Rhinolophus ferrumequinum: one gene and its partner. The protein of the gene in region 2 purifies or fractionates together with the protein of the main gene of each other region. This does not show direct contact. Links are inferred from orthologs where the notes say so. Each region holds a gene or a part of one and is shown on either strand. Other genes may lie near its edges.

The links. Proteins that work in one complex are often made in the same cells at the same time.
Region 1: the proteins of SMAD1 (region 2) and SKI purify together in Homo sapiens (affinity purification with western blotting, with the first as the bait; 3 studies listed by BioGRID). This does not show direct contact. The link is inferred for Rhinolophus ferrumequinum from reciprocal best matches to the Homo sapiens genes SMAD1 and SKI.

The regions. Positions count from the first base shown.
Region 1 is NC_046292.1:1,024,979-1,032,593, forward strand, and holds the start of SKI (ski oncogene), read left to right. Parts: upstream 1-4,600; 5' UTR 4,601-5,024; coding exon 5,025-5,996; intron 5,997-7,615. UniProt on the Homo sapiens protein: May play a role in terminal differentiation of skeletal muscle cells but not in the determination of cells to the myogenic lineage. Functions as a repressor of TGF-beta signaling.
Region 2 is NC_046301.1:18,788,636-18,796,115, reverse strand, and holds the start of SMAD1 (mothers against decapentaplegic homolog 1), read right to left. Parts: upstream 3,017-7,480; 5' UTR 2,768-3,016; intron 2,440-2,767; exon of another isoform or gene 1,584-2,439; intron 1-1,583. UniProt on the Homo sapiens protein: Transcriptional modulator that plays a role in various cellular processes, including embryonic development, cell differentiation, and tissue homeostasis.

The DNA.
Region 1 (7,615 bases), on a different chromosome or scaffold from region 2:
ACCTCCCCTGGGAGCTCACTCTTCTTCCCTTTGTGATTCCTGGGAACCTTGTGGGAGGAAATTTAAAACTATGCAGATAGGCCACCTTTTCAAACTTCCAACTTACGAATCCATTTATTCTAATAAATATTTGAATCCGCATGGAGTCGTGGTGCCGTTTTATTCCGTGCTTCTAATCCATGGTTACCATAATCATCTCTGATTTCCCCTGGGGGGACCTTCGGGAGGCTGAGTGTCCTTCTGGAGTGTCCCTGTTATGCTTTGAGTCCTTCCACACGTCCTGGCACAGTGAGATGTTCCAGACTCATCGTGGACCCTCCCTGCCGGAGCGCTGGGACCAGCCATTTCTCTAAAGACCTCTGGTTCCTTCTAGTGCAGATGGAACTTAGAAGCCATGATGCGGGTTCTCGGCGTGCTCAGTGCTGCTGGGGCATTGCTCCCGTCGGGGCTTCTCTCTGGACTGAGCCGCGGCTCATACGGAGGGAGGTTCGTACAAACATGCCCGCGCGCACAGCTCTTCTACTTGTTTCTAAATATTGAAATGAATGGGCTCACGCAGGTGCCACACCACATGGGCCACTTAACCCTGCCTGCATTTGACTTCCCGTCTCTAACAGTGAGAAACCGGACTCTCCTTACCTAGAATGTGTTCCCTTATTTGGTCAATCTCCCTGCTCCAGGGGCTGTCCCCTCACCCTTCACCCCAGGATCCAGCTCCAGGAGCCCGAGGGTGGCAGGCTGCACAGAATACCCTCATCCTGCTTCTCTCCCCTCACCCCCGGCCCCCAACTATATGTCCTGGGATCGCCTCCCAAGCAAACCGTCTGCACCCACCTCTGTCTCAGGGTCTGCTGCTGGTGGAACCCAAACTAAGACAAAAGTCTTTTCTAAATTTTTATCAAGCTCATGTTACTTGAGTAATTTTATTTTCAAATTTAAAGTTTTAAAACAATATCTTAGCACTTTCCTGACAATGGCGGTTTGTGCCTGGCTGCAACCAGCTGTTCCCTTCTGCTTCCCAAGGAGGAGGGGGTAGGGGCAGGTGGGAGCTGGGAGGGCAGAACAGGTCCACCCAGGGCAAGCCTCGGGCAGGGTCTCTCAGAGGGGCCTGCTGACTGAGCCTACCAGCCCATCTCACAGGTGGACCTTGGAGCGCCTCTCGAGGCCAGGGGCCCTGTCAGTTCCAGCACCCTCATCTCTGGTCCTGGAGTGCTGCGTGCTCCACGGCAGCCCCCAGCCCCTCGAGGCCTCCTTGGGGCCTGCTGGGTCCCAGTCCTGCACTGACCGTGTTGTCCGGCCTTTTCAGTCACCTGGTAGGAGATGGAAGCCACATGGGGAGCTCTCGACTCCTTCCCCGGCGGGGCAAGGGCCAGGTGTAGTGGGTCCCTGCCTGTCCCCAGTCCCCAGTCCCCAGTGCGGCTGTGCCTGTGCCCTGGCCTCTCTACCTGCTGTCATGGTGCCTGGCCCGTGGCAGCAGGACAGTGGGAGGAGTGGGCCACTGGCCTGAGTAGCTGCTGGGATGGGTTGGAGGGAGCTAGGCCAGCAGGTGGAAGCTCCCCCAGCAGGCTCGGGGGGAGGACGGACTGGCTGGTCCTGGGTGGGTGGGCAGGGCTTGGCTACTCCCGGAAATTCCATCTTACAGGATGAGGCCTCAACATCCATTGAGGTGCAGAAGTTTTTCAGACCAGCCCTTCCCCCCATCTCTGGGCCCTTCACCCCTCCCCCACACCCCACTGCACTGTGAGTGTGTGGGTCTCCTGCCAGCCTCTTCCTGGGACCCCTTCCTGGAGCCCCACAAAGCCAAAGGGTGTAGAGGGAAGGGGAGTGTGGGAGCCTGCTCAGCTCACGAGGGTATGGGTAGTGCCCACTTGGCCAAAAGAGCAGGAAGAATTCCGTGCCTGGCTGGAAACCCTTCCCGGCCAGCCCTCCGGTGCCCCAACCGCCTTCTTTCAATTGCAGGTCACTGAGCTGCGTGGAATTCAAATCCACGTGGGAGGAACAGACACTCTCAGGTGCAACATAAACTTTTTGGTACAAATGTGGACCAAGAGAATGAGTCCCCAACACAAATGAGTCCTTCTTCTTCAGTTTTTAACACCCCTTTCCCAGTCTTCTCGTGTTTGTGCAGAGAAGCCTTATGCTGGGGGTGCCCATTGTTGGAGACATGAGAGTACTGAAAAGGGGGGGCCTCCCCAGGGCACAGGGGAGGGGTCGAGGGTGGGGCAAGGGATCACATCCTTGGTGGGGAGTGATCAGGTTTTCAAACATGGAGCTCTGCACCCTGAATCTCAGCCCCCCAAGACGCCTGCCTGTGTCTGCAGCCATGCAGGTGTGGGGTCACCTGACCACCCCAGCTGCCTCTCCAGACAACTGCCTGAACCTCAAGGCCTGCGGAAATGCTGGGTCAGCTCCCTGGGCAGGCCTTGCCCCAGGAGCACTGGTTTGGGGCCAGTTCCAGCCTCCCCCGGAGAGGTAGGAGCAGCAGGTGACAAGCTGAAGGTCACCCAGGCTGAAGTGGGTGTGGTCCCATCCCCCCTGCCCAGCACTGCAGGTGTCCCCACGTCCCCGTGTCTAGGCCAGCTTGGGTGCCCTCATTCTGTGGAGAAAAAGGTGCTACAGCTCAGGTCGGCGGGAATGTCCCTCTGCTCGGAGTTGAACGCAGCCAGAACTGCCCCTGATTTCAAACCCCCACCCCAGGCCTCTGTGGGCTGCCTTCTCGGGGACCACCCAGCCACCCCATCTTCTCCCACCAGGTACTTTCTGTCTGTCCCCCACGACACACAGCCCAGCCCGTGTGTGTAAGGACGGGTAACAGGGCCACGTCCCAGGTGGCCTAGAGATGTGTAAGTGGCTCTCTGGCCTGGGAGGTTGCAGGGTAAGGGTCACACTAGCCTGCCTGGGGCACCAGGGGCCGGGTTTCTGAGGACCCACCGTGGGTCCGGCCCTGGCAGCAACCCGGCTGGTGGGCACAGGGCACAGCTCCTTGGATGCGGGCTGTCACTTCAGGCGCTCAGCACCTGCCCGCCACCACCTGCCCTCCTCATGCAGCTGGCACTCCTGCACTGGACAGGCTGGGATGTGACACCGCCGGTCGCGGTCCTGCTGGCCTGGTGGCAGGGATCAGGGTACAGGGACATGGGTTGGGGGGTGCTGCTTGCCAATCATACTGGGGGGTTGTGTGCTGCACCTGCGTCAGGTGGGGTCCTGGGACAGGTTGCATGGTGTCCGTGTGGGGTCTCAGGTGCTGCCACCCTAACGTGTTTAGTAACCCATAGTGTGTTGTGGGGCGTTCTTGTCCTGTGTGGAACCTTGGGTCATACTATGTGGAGTTCTAGTCGTGGGGGCCCCAGGGTGTGTTGTGTGGACTCCCCGTCATGTCTGGGGTCCCTGGGTAGTACGGCGCACTATCCCCGTTGTGTATGGGGACCGCAGGATGTGTTGCGTGGCATTTCACTCGCGTGTGGGACTTGGGTCCTATTGCATGGGGTCCCCATCGTGTGTGGACCCCGGGTCGTGTTTTGTGGCATCTCTGTCGTGTTTGGGACCCCAGATGTGTTACGTGGCGTCCCTGTCGTGTGTGGAAACCTGGGTCATGCTACATGACATCCCCATCATGCGTGGGGACCTCAGGGTGTGTTGCGTGGCGTCCCCGTCGTGCGGCAGTCGCGAGGCGTGCGGTGGGGCTGCGCGGTCGCGTCCCGTCCGCCTCTCAGCTGGTCTGAGGTTGTGGCGGGGCCGCGTGTGGGTTTCCGGGCCCCGTAGGCGGCGGCGGCGGCGGCGGCGGCGGCGGCGGCGTCGGGGCGAGAGCCCTCCCAGCCGCGCAGGAAGCGGCCTCGGCCGGAAAGGGGGCCTCCGGCGCCGCCGCCGCCCCTGCCGAGCGGTCTTCCGGCGGGCGGGGCCGAGTAAAGCCGAGCGCGGCCGACTTCAGGGTGGGCGGGGCCGAGTGGAGCCGAGCGGGGCCGAGACCCAGGCGTCGGGACCGAGTGGAGCCGAGCGGGGCCGAGGCCGGGCCGAGCGGGGTCGAGGTTAAGGCGGGCGTCTCCGATCGAACCCGAGTTCCTAGCGGTTGGGCCCGAGCGCGGCCGAACACGGCCGAGAGGCCCGAGTGCGGGCGGGGAGAGCGCGCATTCCTGGAAGAGCCGGCCGGGAGGCGGTCGCATTCCTGGCCGACGCTGGCTGGGGCGGACGCGCGTCCCAGACGGCGGCGCGGGGCGGGGCGGCGGCGCGGGGCGGGGCGCGGGGCGGGGCGGTGGCGTGAGCTCAGCGCCCGGCGCTCAGTCCGAGCCGGAGCGAGCCGCCGGGAGGATGTGCGCCGAGCCCCGCGCCGCCGCCGCCGCCGCCGCGCTCTGAGGGCCGCCTCATAGGCGCTCCGCCGCCCCGGAAGCCGCGCGCGCGGGGGGCGGGCGGGCCGCGGAGCCGGCGCGGGCGGCGGGGTGGGCGCGGGCCGGGCCGGGCCGGGGCGGCCGGCGGCGTGCGCTACGCGGCTGGCCAGCGCCGCCGGGACGAGCCGGGCGGGCGCCGCGCGGTGGGAGGAGCGGGGCGGCGGCGGCGCGCCGCGCGAGGACGGCCCGGCGGGCCCCGCGCCCGCGCCCCCGCTCCTCCCGGGCCCCTCGGCCTCGGCCGCCGCGGCGATTCGCGCCTCGCGGCGCCGGCACCTGCCCGCGCGCCCCCCGCGAGCCCCGGGCCCGCGAGCGTTGGCGTTGGCGTTGGCGGCGCGCGCCGGGGCATGCCCCGCGCCTAGGGCCCGGGGGGCGCGCGGGGGGCGCGCGGGGGGCCCGGGCGGCGGCGGGCGCGGCGCGGGGCGCGTGGATGTGGCGCCGGGCCCGGGCGCCGGCGGGCTCCAGCGGCGGGACCCCTTCGCCCCGCCCGCCTTCCCCTTCGCGCCCCCGGGCGAGGCCGAGGCCGCGGCCGTGATCGGCCGGGGCCGGGGCCGAGGCCGCCGCCGGGGCGCGAGGGGCGGCGGCGGGGGCCGCGGGGGCCCGGGCGCGCGGGAGCGGGAGAGGCCCGCGGAATCGGAGCGCACCATGGAGGCGACGGCGGGAGGCCGCGGCGGCTTCCAGCCGCACCCGGGGCTGCAGAAGACGCTGGAGCAGTTCCACCTGAGCTCCATGAGCTCGCTGGGCGGCCCGGCCGCCTTCTCGGCGCGCTGGGCGCAGGAGGCCTACAAGAAGGAGAGCGCCAAGGAGGCGGGCGCTGCCGCGGTGCCGGCGCCTGTGCCCGCGGCCACCGAGCCGCCGCCTGTGCTCACGCACCTGCCCGCCCTGCAGCCGCCGCCGCCCGTGTTGCCCGGGCCCTTCTTCATGCCGTCCGACCGCTCCACCGAGCGCTGCGAGACCGTGCTGGAGGGCGAGACCATCTCGTGCTTCGTGGTGGGCGGCGAGAAGCGCCTGTGCCTGCCGCAGATCCTGAACTCGGTGCTGCGCGACTTCTCCCTGCAGCAGATCAACTCGGTGTGCGACGAGCTCCACATCTACTGCTCGCGCTGCACGGCCGACCAGCTGGAGATCCTCAAAGTCATGGGCATTCTGCCCTTCTCGGCGCCCTCGTGCGGGCTCATCACCAAGACGGACGCGGAGCGCCTGTGCAACGCGCTGCTGTACGGCGGCGCCTACCCGCCGCCCTGCAAGAAGGAGCTGGCCGCCAGCCTGGCGCTGGGCCTGGAGCTCAGCGAGCGCAGCGTGCGCGTGTACCACGAGTGCTTCGGCAAGTGCAAGGGGCTGCTGGTGCCCGAGCTCTACAGCAGCCCGAGCGCCGCCTGCATCCAGTGCCTCGACTGCCGCCTCATGTACCCGCCGCACAAGTTCGTGGTGCACTCGCACAAAGCCCTTGAGAACCGGACCTGCCACTGGGGCTTCGACTCGGCCAACTGGCGGGCCTACATCCTGCTGAGCCAGGACTACACGGGCAAGGAGGAGCAGGCGCGCCTCGGCCGCTGCCTGGACGACGTGAAGGAGAAGTTCGACTACGGCAACAAGTACAAGCGGCGGGTGCCCCGGGTGAGTGTCCCCGCCGCCCCTCCTGCGGGCGTGGGAGGGGCGGGTCCGAGACGCTGGGGAGGCCCCCTGGGCCAGGGGCTCACTGTCTGTGCAGGCTGGGACTTGCGCTTCTGCCTTTTTCCCGTTTTAGGGGTTTGCTTTGTTTTAAGCACTGTCAGGGTAGCTTCAGAGAGTCCATTGATGACCAAGTAGCCTGGGAGGAAGCCTCTCCTCCTGCCCGATCTCTGGGACATGCCTGCTTGTGTGTGTGTGGGGGGGGGGTCGGGGAGACCTGGGCCCCCGCCTGGTGGGTGGAGAAGCCTCCCTGAGGCCACTGCCCAGATAGGCCCCATGGCGGGGAAGGGCAGGCGGCAGACCTGGGCTGCTCCTGCTCAAAGTCCCGAGAAGTTAGGTCTCGTCCAGGCTCGGGCTGGAGGCCCAGGCCTTCTTCTTCAGGGCCGAGAGGAGGGGTCCAGCCCGGGTCTGGGCAGAGGGCACTGCCGTCACCCCGAAGCTCCCAGCGTTCCCGACAGAGGGGTTCTTGCCTGTGGTCCCAGGCAGACGGGACTTGGCGAGCGGAGCCTCTTTGTGCCTTGGAGTCGTGGGAGACAGACTCAAAAACTAGCCTGGGTTTCTAGGCGCAGTGTCAGGGCTGAGATTCGGCGCCTCCAGCTCTATGCACCTCCCTAGGCCTGCCCGGGAGCTCGGGAGCGAATCCAGATTCCCCGGGTGCGGGCGAGGGCCACTGGGCACCGGGCTCAGGGCCTGGTCAGCCGGCACCCGGGGTCCTGAGTTGGAGTAGCCAGTGGCCTGTGATTTGTTTTGGACGCGCCCATTTCCTTCTCTCCCTCTCTCTGAAACGCTGGAGGGCGCGGCGACAGGCAGGGAGGGCCCAGCAAAGGCTCTGTTGTTTGCCTGGCAGGGGATCTGTGTGACCGGCCGGCAGCTCCCTGGCCACTAGACGCCGAAAGCAATCACTGAAGTCTCCCCAACTTTTCATGGCATCTCCCCCTCCCCAAGTATTTGTAACTTTTAGATATAGGGGCTTATTAAATTGCACACACAGAATGCTGCATTGGCTCAGCTATTCTTGGGAGGCCTAATTAATTCAGCTATTGCATCAAACTTTTTTTCTGAATCTGTGAATAGATGCTCCCGCCCGGTTTTCTCTGGGCGCCCCTCCAGCGGAGTGTCAGTCTCGGAGTGTCAGTCTCGGCGAGCGGAGGAGGGGCTGGGGAAGATGAGGGCTTGGTGGGGGCCGCCGCGTGTGCGCGTGTGCAAGTGTGTGCGTGTTTGGTGGCATTTCTGCCCTTGGCTAGGCCAGCGCCCAGGTGGCAGCTGTCTGCAGACTGGGGCTGGGCTGGAGCCTCAGAGTGGGCAGCGTGGGGTGCTGGGGCTGCTGATCGGGAAGGCCTACGTGGGCCCTTCGTGTCAAACGGAGTTGGCTCTGGGTGCCGTGATGGGCATTGCCTTTGAACTGGGAGCTTTTCTGTTTGGGGTGCTTGCACCCTGGACAGCCAGCGTGGTCCAAGGGAGCCCCACGTGCAGGATTGTAGATTTTGGCAGACTGGAGCTGGTGGGTGAGGCCATGGCTGGTCACTTCCCTTCAGAGTGGACAGCCAAGGGTCTTGTCTGGCAGG
Region 2 (7,480 bases):
GCTGCCAAGGTCCTTATCAGCACCCCCAAAGCATGTCTCTCCACTACCGAATGGAAAGCTACTTAAACGCAGACTAGACATCTCTGCATTTCTGTTCAATTTTTTCAGAAATTCAGAGTTCTGTAAACCTTCCGCTCTTTCAGAAAAAAAAAATCAGCATTCCTGGCCAGTTCAGCCTTTCCACTATAAACAAAATCCATGTACCACCCATATCTGAAGTATAACGCCAGACTCCTGCTTAGCTGCCCCTGTAATATGGTTTAATTATGATGACTGAACTAATAGGCTGACATCATAGACTTTTACAGGCTGACCCCATGTCATCCTGATGTATCATTTTGCACCAGTTCAGTGCTGTAAATCAATTTAAGATCTCAAGCAGGTTGAAAAGGCTGGTAATGATGCTTTCTCTGCTGTCTCTGGAGACTCTACATTATACACAACTTACATTATTTATAAAGCCTCAATGATGCCTCCATTAGCCTTGTAAGACTACACAAATGAGATCTTTTATACACACACAACTTGGCCTTGATTATGTAGGCGACTGCAGTTTAAATATACTCGTCTAATTACACTCAAGTTTATTCTTTTTGTTCAAGTTTATTCTTTTTCCAATCTAACCAAGTTACTATGTTTTATCTTTAATCCAGAATTATTAGAAATCACAATTACAGTCTGAAATTTAGTTTTTAACTAACAAATATATTTAGGAAAATGAGACTTACTTCCTCTTAATACTTTAATGAACTCAGTAGAAAGGAATTAATTATTAAACTCCAAGAGGTGGAAGAGCTTAAAAATTTTAATTGCCTAAAGAGTGCCATTCCTCCAAAATGCAAAGGTCCTCAGCTCTTCAAGGGTATAAAATCAAAGGGTACTGAAAATAGGAAAAATGGATTTGGTTACACACCTATGGTTGGAGGGATCAAAACTAAATCAAGGACAAATCCCTACCCTTAGAAGAAACCCGATACCACCTGGATCCTCCAAAGGCTCTAGCATCACCCACCTCTAGAAAATCATCTCTCAGGACCCTGGTTACAGTTTCCTAAAAATTGCAGTGTTACACAAATGTACACCACCTGCACAGAAATATCAAATAACTGCAAAGGGGAAAGAAAGAGGGCGGGAGAGGGGAGAACAAACACTTTCACCAGTATTGCCTATTAGGCCAGGTACCTCCATCAGAATAACACTGACGCAGAATATTTATATGAATTGAAAATGCTGGGGCGGTGAACACTGCCTCTACCTCCATTCTTTTTCAACAGTTCCAGTACAGCTCACCCACCTCCAATAAAATGTAAAGTGGTAATTATCAGCAAGGTGAAAAATCAACATGGGCAGAGAACAGTTTTCTCATTACTGAACGTGGGCATGTTATCCACGGCAGGCAGTTAGAGCAAGAAATGTTCGGAAATAAAGGCATTCTGTGATTTAGGTGCTGAGAGTGTCAGTCACAGGAAAGACACACCGAAATCATGCAACTTCTGTATCAATTTCCCCTACTTTGCAACTTCAGATACAATGGAAAGAGAACATTGGGAGGAAGAAAAAGGCCAGTTGTCAACAGCACTCACGAAAACGATGCTTTCTCAGGAGATGGTTCTGAGCCGCGCCTCATTTTCAGAAGGGAAGCCTTCGCCTTCCTGGAGATCTCGCACAGTGTATTTAAAAATCGTAAGCGCCTCAAAATAAACAAAAGCCGCACCACTGTAGTTGTGAGATCCGGCGGGCGTCTGTCCTTCCTCACTTCCTAAGTACAGTAGGGAAACGCTCTCCCTTTAAGCCTTCATATGTATTTGGCAACTAGAAAAACAAGCCCACGTCTCTCTCTGCTCTCACACCCACCACCCCCACCTTCTACAGAAACAACCCCGAGAAACCCTCACAAAGCCAGGGAGCAAAGTAAAAGAACAGTTGTTCAACAGCGAACTCACAAATACACATGCAGTGAGGCAATCGAATCCGGTCAAGGGAAAGGAATGAGACGACACTTGGAGACGCAGGCGGGTGTAGGCGGAAGAGGAAAAAAAAAAAATTACGCGCCGCCGCCAAACCTTTGAATAAATTAGAGGGAATTTCGGTGCGAACTTCCCTTGACCTCGACCCCCAAGAGGGTCGTTGGGGCAGAGAAGGGAACCTGTCTGGGACGCGGAGGGACCCAGGGCACCGGGTGTCCCCTTCCTGCGAGACCGGCTCCCCGAGGCGCCGAGTGCTTAAAGGGCAGCGCCGGCGGCCGCCCTCCAACTCCCGCAAGGGTGCCCGGGCCGGCGCGGGACACAATGGGCCCGCCGGCCGCGCGGACGGGCCTGGGCCCGGCTGCAGGAAAGGAAAGGGAAACAGAGAGCGGGCGGAGGGGGAGGGTGGCCCGGAGGTCCCGCAGGTCCCGCCGCGGGCAGGGCCGGGGGCGAGGCTCCAGCGAAGGAACGCGGCTTCCCCACCGCAGACCCAACAAAGACGCAAGGGGAATCCCGGCCGAGCCCGGGGCGGCCGGTGGGGGCGAGAGAAGAAGGTGGCAGGTTCGCTCCTCAGAGCGACTGGGAGACGCCATCATGGGGGAGGGGGGGTCCCCGTTCCGACCCACGCGGGGAAGAGCCGCCTCCCCGCCGCGGCCCGCGCCGGGCCCTGCCGATCGCGGCCGCCCTGCGGGCCCGCGCCCGTCCCATCTGAGGCAGCGGCGGCGCTGGAAAGTCCAGGGTGCCGACAGGCGGGCGGGGACGCGGCAGAGGGGAAAGTTGGGATCGGGTATGTTTCGTTTTACCGGGTTGGCGACGCGCCCGTCCGCGCGGGCGCACGAGTGGCCGGACGAGCGGGGTCCCGCGGCCCCGGTCCGGCCGGCCAGGCGCTGCGCTCGCAGGGTCCCTCCCCGCGCCTCGGCCCGGGCTGAGCCGCTCGGCCTCTCCTTCCTCCTCCCGCCCGCCCTCTCGCTCCCGGAGCCTGGATTGATCTGGTCGTGCTGGCGTCAGGGAGTCGGAGCCGCCCAGCCTCCACTCCTCCGCTGCCAATACCCAGCGCACTCGCCCGCCCGCCCGCTCGTTTGCTCACACGCGCACCCGCGCGCCGCCGCCGCCGCCGCCGCCGCCGCGCGACCAGGGATCCTCTCCAAATTCCCCGCCCCGCCGGCGCGAGCGCGGCGCAGGGAGGCCAGAGGACCGCGAGGGGAGCGGCCCCAGCCCCCGGCCCCCTTGATTCCAGCAGGGAAAACAACGCGCATTCTTGCCTCCCCCTGCCTCCTTTCGTCCGGGTGAGCGGACTTGGTGCATTATCTGCAAGTGAAGTTCTGTGTTCAGCGTTTATTTTCTGAAATGTTCATTTACACGTCCACCGCGCCCACCGGAACGTTCTATTAATGTGGAGTACATGTTTGACAATTATCGTTTCAGACTCGCTTTTTGTGTCTAGTTTTCATTGCCCCTCACTTACTCCCCAATGATTTGCAAGCCTCGGAAGTTGCACGTACTCAGAATTGGATAGCCTGTGAACCAATACATGCGTGAGAATCAATTGCATGTGAATCAATACATGCGTTTCGTGCCTAATGGTTCGAGTAGGTAACCTCATTGCTCCAAATAATGACAGATGCCACAATAGCACTCTAAATTTTTGACCCAGTTTCTACAATCTTTTAGATGATACCCCTCCCCCCAATTAAAACAGACTAGCTCTCATCTACCTGATCTGCACAGACATTGAAAATACCTTTTTGTAAGAATTAATTTTTCTATTAACCAGCTCTCTGGAAGCTGGCATGAAATCTTGGATAATTACCATAACGTTATGTTTAGAGATGAATCCTGAGGAATAAATTTTACATGAACCACAAGTATCATTACCACCAAAATAAAATGTCAAAGACCTCTGTAAATTAATGGTACTTCTAGTTGTTCACATACGTTTACATGTACACATTCCATTTAAAATTCTTAACTATTTTACTATTTCTGCATTCCATGTTTAATTATCCAAAGAAAATGTAACAAACCCCACAAAACACAAAATAACAGTTTATAAATTATAGATCAGAATGTTTCTGCTAATTTCTTTGTTAAACTATTTGAGCACTTACTGGTCAATTCTTGGGCCTCATCTTATTTTTCCTAAAAGCAGCATTTGACACAGTTCATCATTCTCTGCTCCTTGGAACAACAGCTGGAGTGAGCCTTGTTAAATGCCACTTAGATCAGGTCCTTCTGTTCAAAACCCTTGATAAATAGAATGTGCTATCTCCATCCAATGGAACATTATTCAGTCATAAAAAGGAATGACACATGCTACATGGATAAACCTTGAGAACATTGTTAAGTGAAAGAAGTTAGGCACAGAAGACCACAAATTGTATACTTCTACCTACTGTATATAAAATATCTAGAATAGGCAAATAATCTACAGAGACAGAAAGTAGAATGGTGGTTGCCTATGTTTGGGGGAATGGAGGAGGTTAGATGGTGATAGCTAAAGGTTATGGGGTTTCTTTTGGGAGCTAACAAAATGTTCTAAAACTAGTTTGTGGTGATGGTTGCACAATTCTGTGGATGTACTAAAAATCATTGAATAATATACTTGAAATGGGTGAATTACATGGTATGTGAATTTTAGTTCAATAAAGCTATTTTTTTTAAAAGGAATGACAAATAAATGCAGTGTATGATCCTTGACTGGATCCTGGGTTAGGGACAAAAGCTATAAAATGACATTATAAAACTGTTAATTTGTTTAGCCAATGGATGACCTTTCTTAGTGAAATCCTACTAGCCCCAAATAGTAATTATTGATACTACACAATCTATGAAATTTGATTTTGCCCCTTGTGCAACTTATTTTTGTAAACAGGGATAGAAAATTGTATTTTAAAATAAAAGGACACTGCCATGGCCAAGCATTTGGTATTCAATGCCAAGAAGTAGAAAAATAAAGAATAAAAAAAAAGGATATTATTGGAACAATTATGAAAACTTGAATATGGGTTGTATACTAATATAGTATCAAAACAACAAAATCTTCCCTTGGCTTCCCATTTCACTCAAAGTAAAAGTTCTCACAATGTGTACAAGACTGTACATGATTTTTCCTCCCCGCCCTTCTCTACCACTCTACCCTGGTCTCCTATTCTCTACCTCGCTCACTTCCTCAAGTCACTCTGGCCTCCTTACAAGTCCTGGAACAACCTGGGCACACTGCTATGTCAGGACCTTTGCACTAACTGTTTCCTCTCTGGAAAGCCGGTACCACAGATGTCTACATGGGCCACTCCCTCAGCTCCCTCACGTCTTCACTCAAGGTTTCCTCTTGCAATGAAGTCTACCCTGGCCACTTTATTTAAAATTTCACACACACACACACACACACACACACACACACACACACACACACTGCATACCCCTCCCATTTTATATTCTCTTTCCCTGTTTGGCATGGATGGTTTACTTATCAGGACCTAACCTCTTACTTAGTCAAAAGCAATGTTCTGTTTATTACTATACTTTCAATGCCTGATAGGAGCTCATTAAATACCTGTTGAATGAACGAATCAAGTATTGTTCAAGTCACAGGAGATATGGTGGCAAAACAGAGAAAACTCCCTACTCTCATCAAGGAAGACAAATAATGAATACATACGGGCATGCAACACAGAAGGACACTTCAATCATCAACAGACCACATATATATACAATGGTGGTCCTATAAGATTATAATGGAGCTGAAAAATTCCTATTGTGATGTCATAGCACAAGGCATTGCCATGTGTTTGTGGTGACGCTGGTATACACAAGCCTGCTGTGCTGCCAGTCCTATAAAAGTATAGCGCATACAATCATGTACAGTCCATGAGAATTGATGATAATAAACGACTATGTAACTGGTTTATGGATTTACTATGATAGACTTTATCATTACTTTAGAGTGTTCTCTTTCTACTTATAAAAAAATAAAAAGTTTCCTAAATGCCAGGTTAGCAGCAGCCTCATACAGCTCATGCTTATCGAGTTTCTTGATTGCATCATTTTCTCTTGTGCTTGATTTAATCTCGTGTTGTTTCATACACTAATGTGCTGTCCAGGCTTGTAGCCTAGGAGCAATAGGCCAGATCACATGACCTAGTGTGTAGTAGGCTACACCATCTAGGTTCCTGTACGTACATTCTGTGATATGTTCATACAACAATAAAATAGCCCAAGAATGTATTTCTCAGTATTCAGATCGTTAAGCGGCCCTTGACTGTATATGAATATGCTAGGTGGTCATACATGGGATGGAAGCAGCAAGATTAGAGGGGTTGGGAATAGGGAGGTTGATATTTCTATAGGGAAAAGCTCACTGACAAGAGGTCCTGAAGGAAGAGGCAGCATGCCACATGACCTGGGAGGAGGTTTTCCAACCTCCCAAGCAGAGGTAAGAGAAGGGCAAAGACCCTGGAGCTGAGTCTCTTTCCCCCATTCACAGAAGAGCCACAAAGAGCCAGCCACAGGAGGGGAGGCGGAGTGTGTGGGCCCAAGTGCTCGTGGGCTAGTGGCTGTGGAGGTGGAAACACAGGAACCTTCTTTTCTGTCTGTTTCTCTTATCTTGGTGGGATAGCCATGCACCCTTTTTCCTGAGAATGGTGAGCGTGGAAGAGATGTTGGAGGATGTTTTTCCTGAGAATGGTGAGCGTGGAAGAGAGGAGCCGATATGCAGCACTGATATTCTGGGAGAGTTTGAGAGCAAATGAACATTGGAAATGTGGTGAGATTGCCAGGCAGAGCTCCTAACTGCCTCTTTGAGGTTAGTGGTCATGAATTTAAAGCAAGGCCAGTCAGCATGGCTGTGGATTCTTCTCCAGCCTCCTCAGCCATACGGGGCAGAGCTGGGTTTAACCAGGGCTGCAGTTGTACAGGTGGGTGTGATGGAGGGAGGGTATCTGAGAACAGAGGGTGTTAGCAAGGGTGTGACTATGCGGAACTGTGAGAAGGAGGGCCGAGAGGATACAAAGGAGTGGGGGCAAAGGGAGAGGTGAGAGGATTATAGATTGAAGGTCTCAGTGGGGTCCAAGAATTGCTGGAGTTAGGAACCACTCCCAACACCTGGGGAACAGCCTGAGAACAGGATGCTTGAAATTGAAATCACAGAGCTGGGACAGTTTGGGGTAATGCCAAGATCTAGTGTTGTGACCAGAGACAGCTGAGGCAGGTAGAGGACAGGATCCTGGATCCCAAGGTCCCTCCAAGTATGACTCTGACACACATTTTTGCCTGGTCTCCTTCACACTCCAACACACACGCTGGCAAATTTGCAACGATATTCCTCTATTTTATTTAAATATCATATCCTTTGTTCATACTTGGATATGATATTCCTCCTTTTTCATATTTAAAAGGCATTTAAACATGATATCCTTCGTTCATCCTTGGTATATGATCCTGGCTCCTCCAATTTTCAAAATTCTACCTATTCTTTAAGGCCTGACATCATCTTCTAGATATTAAGCAAACAAACAAAA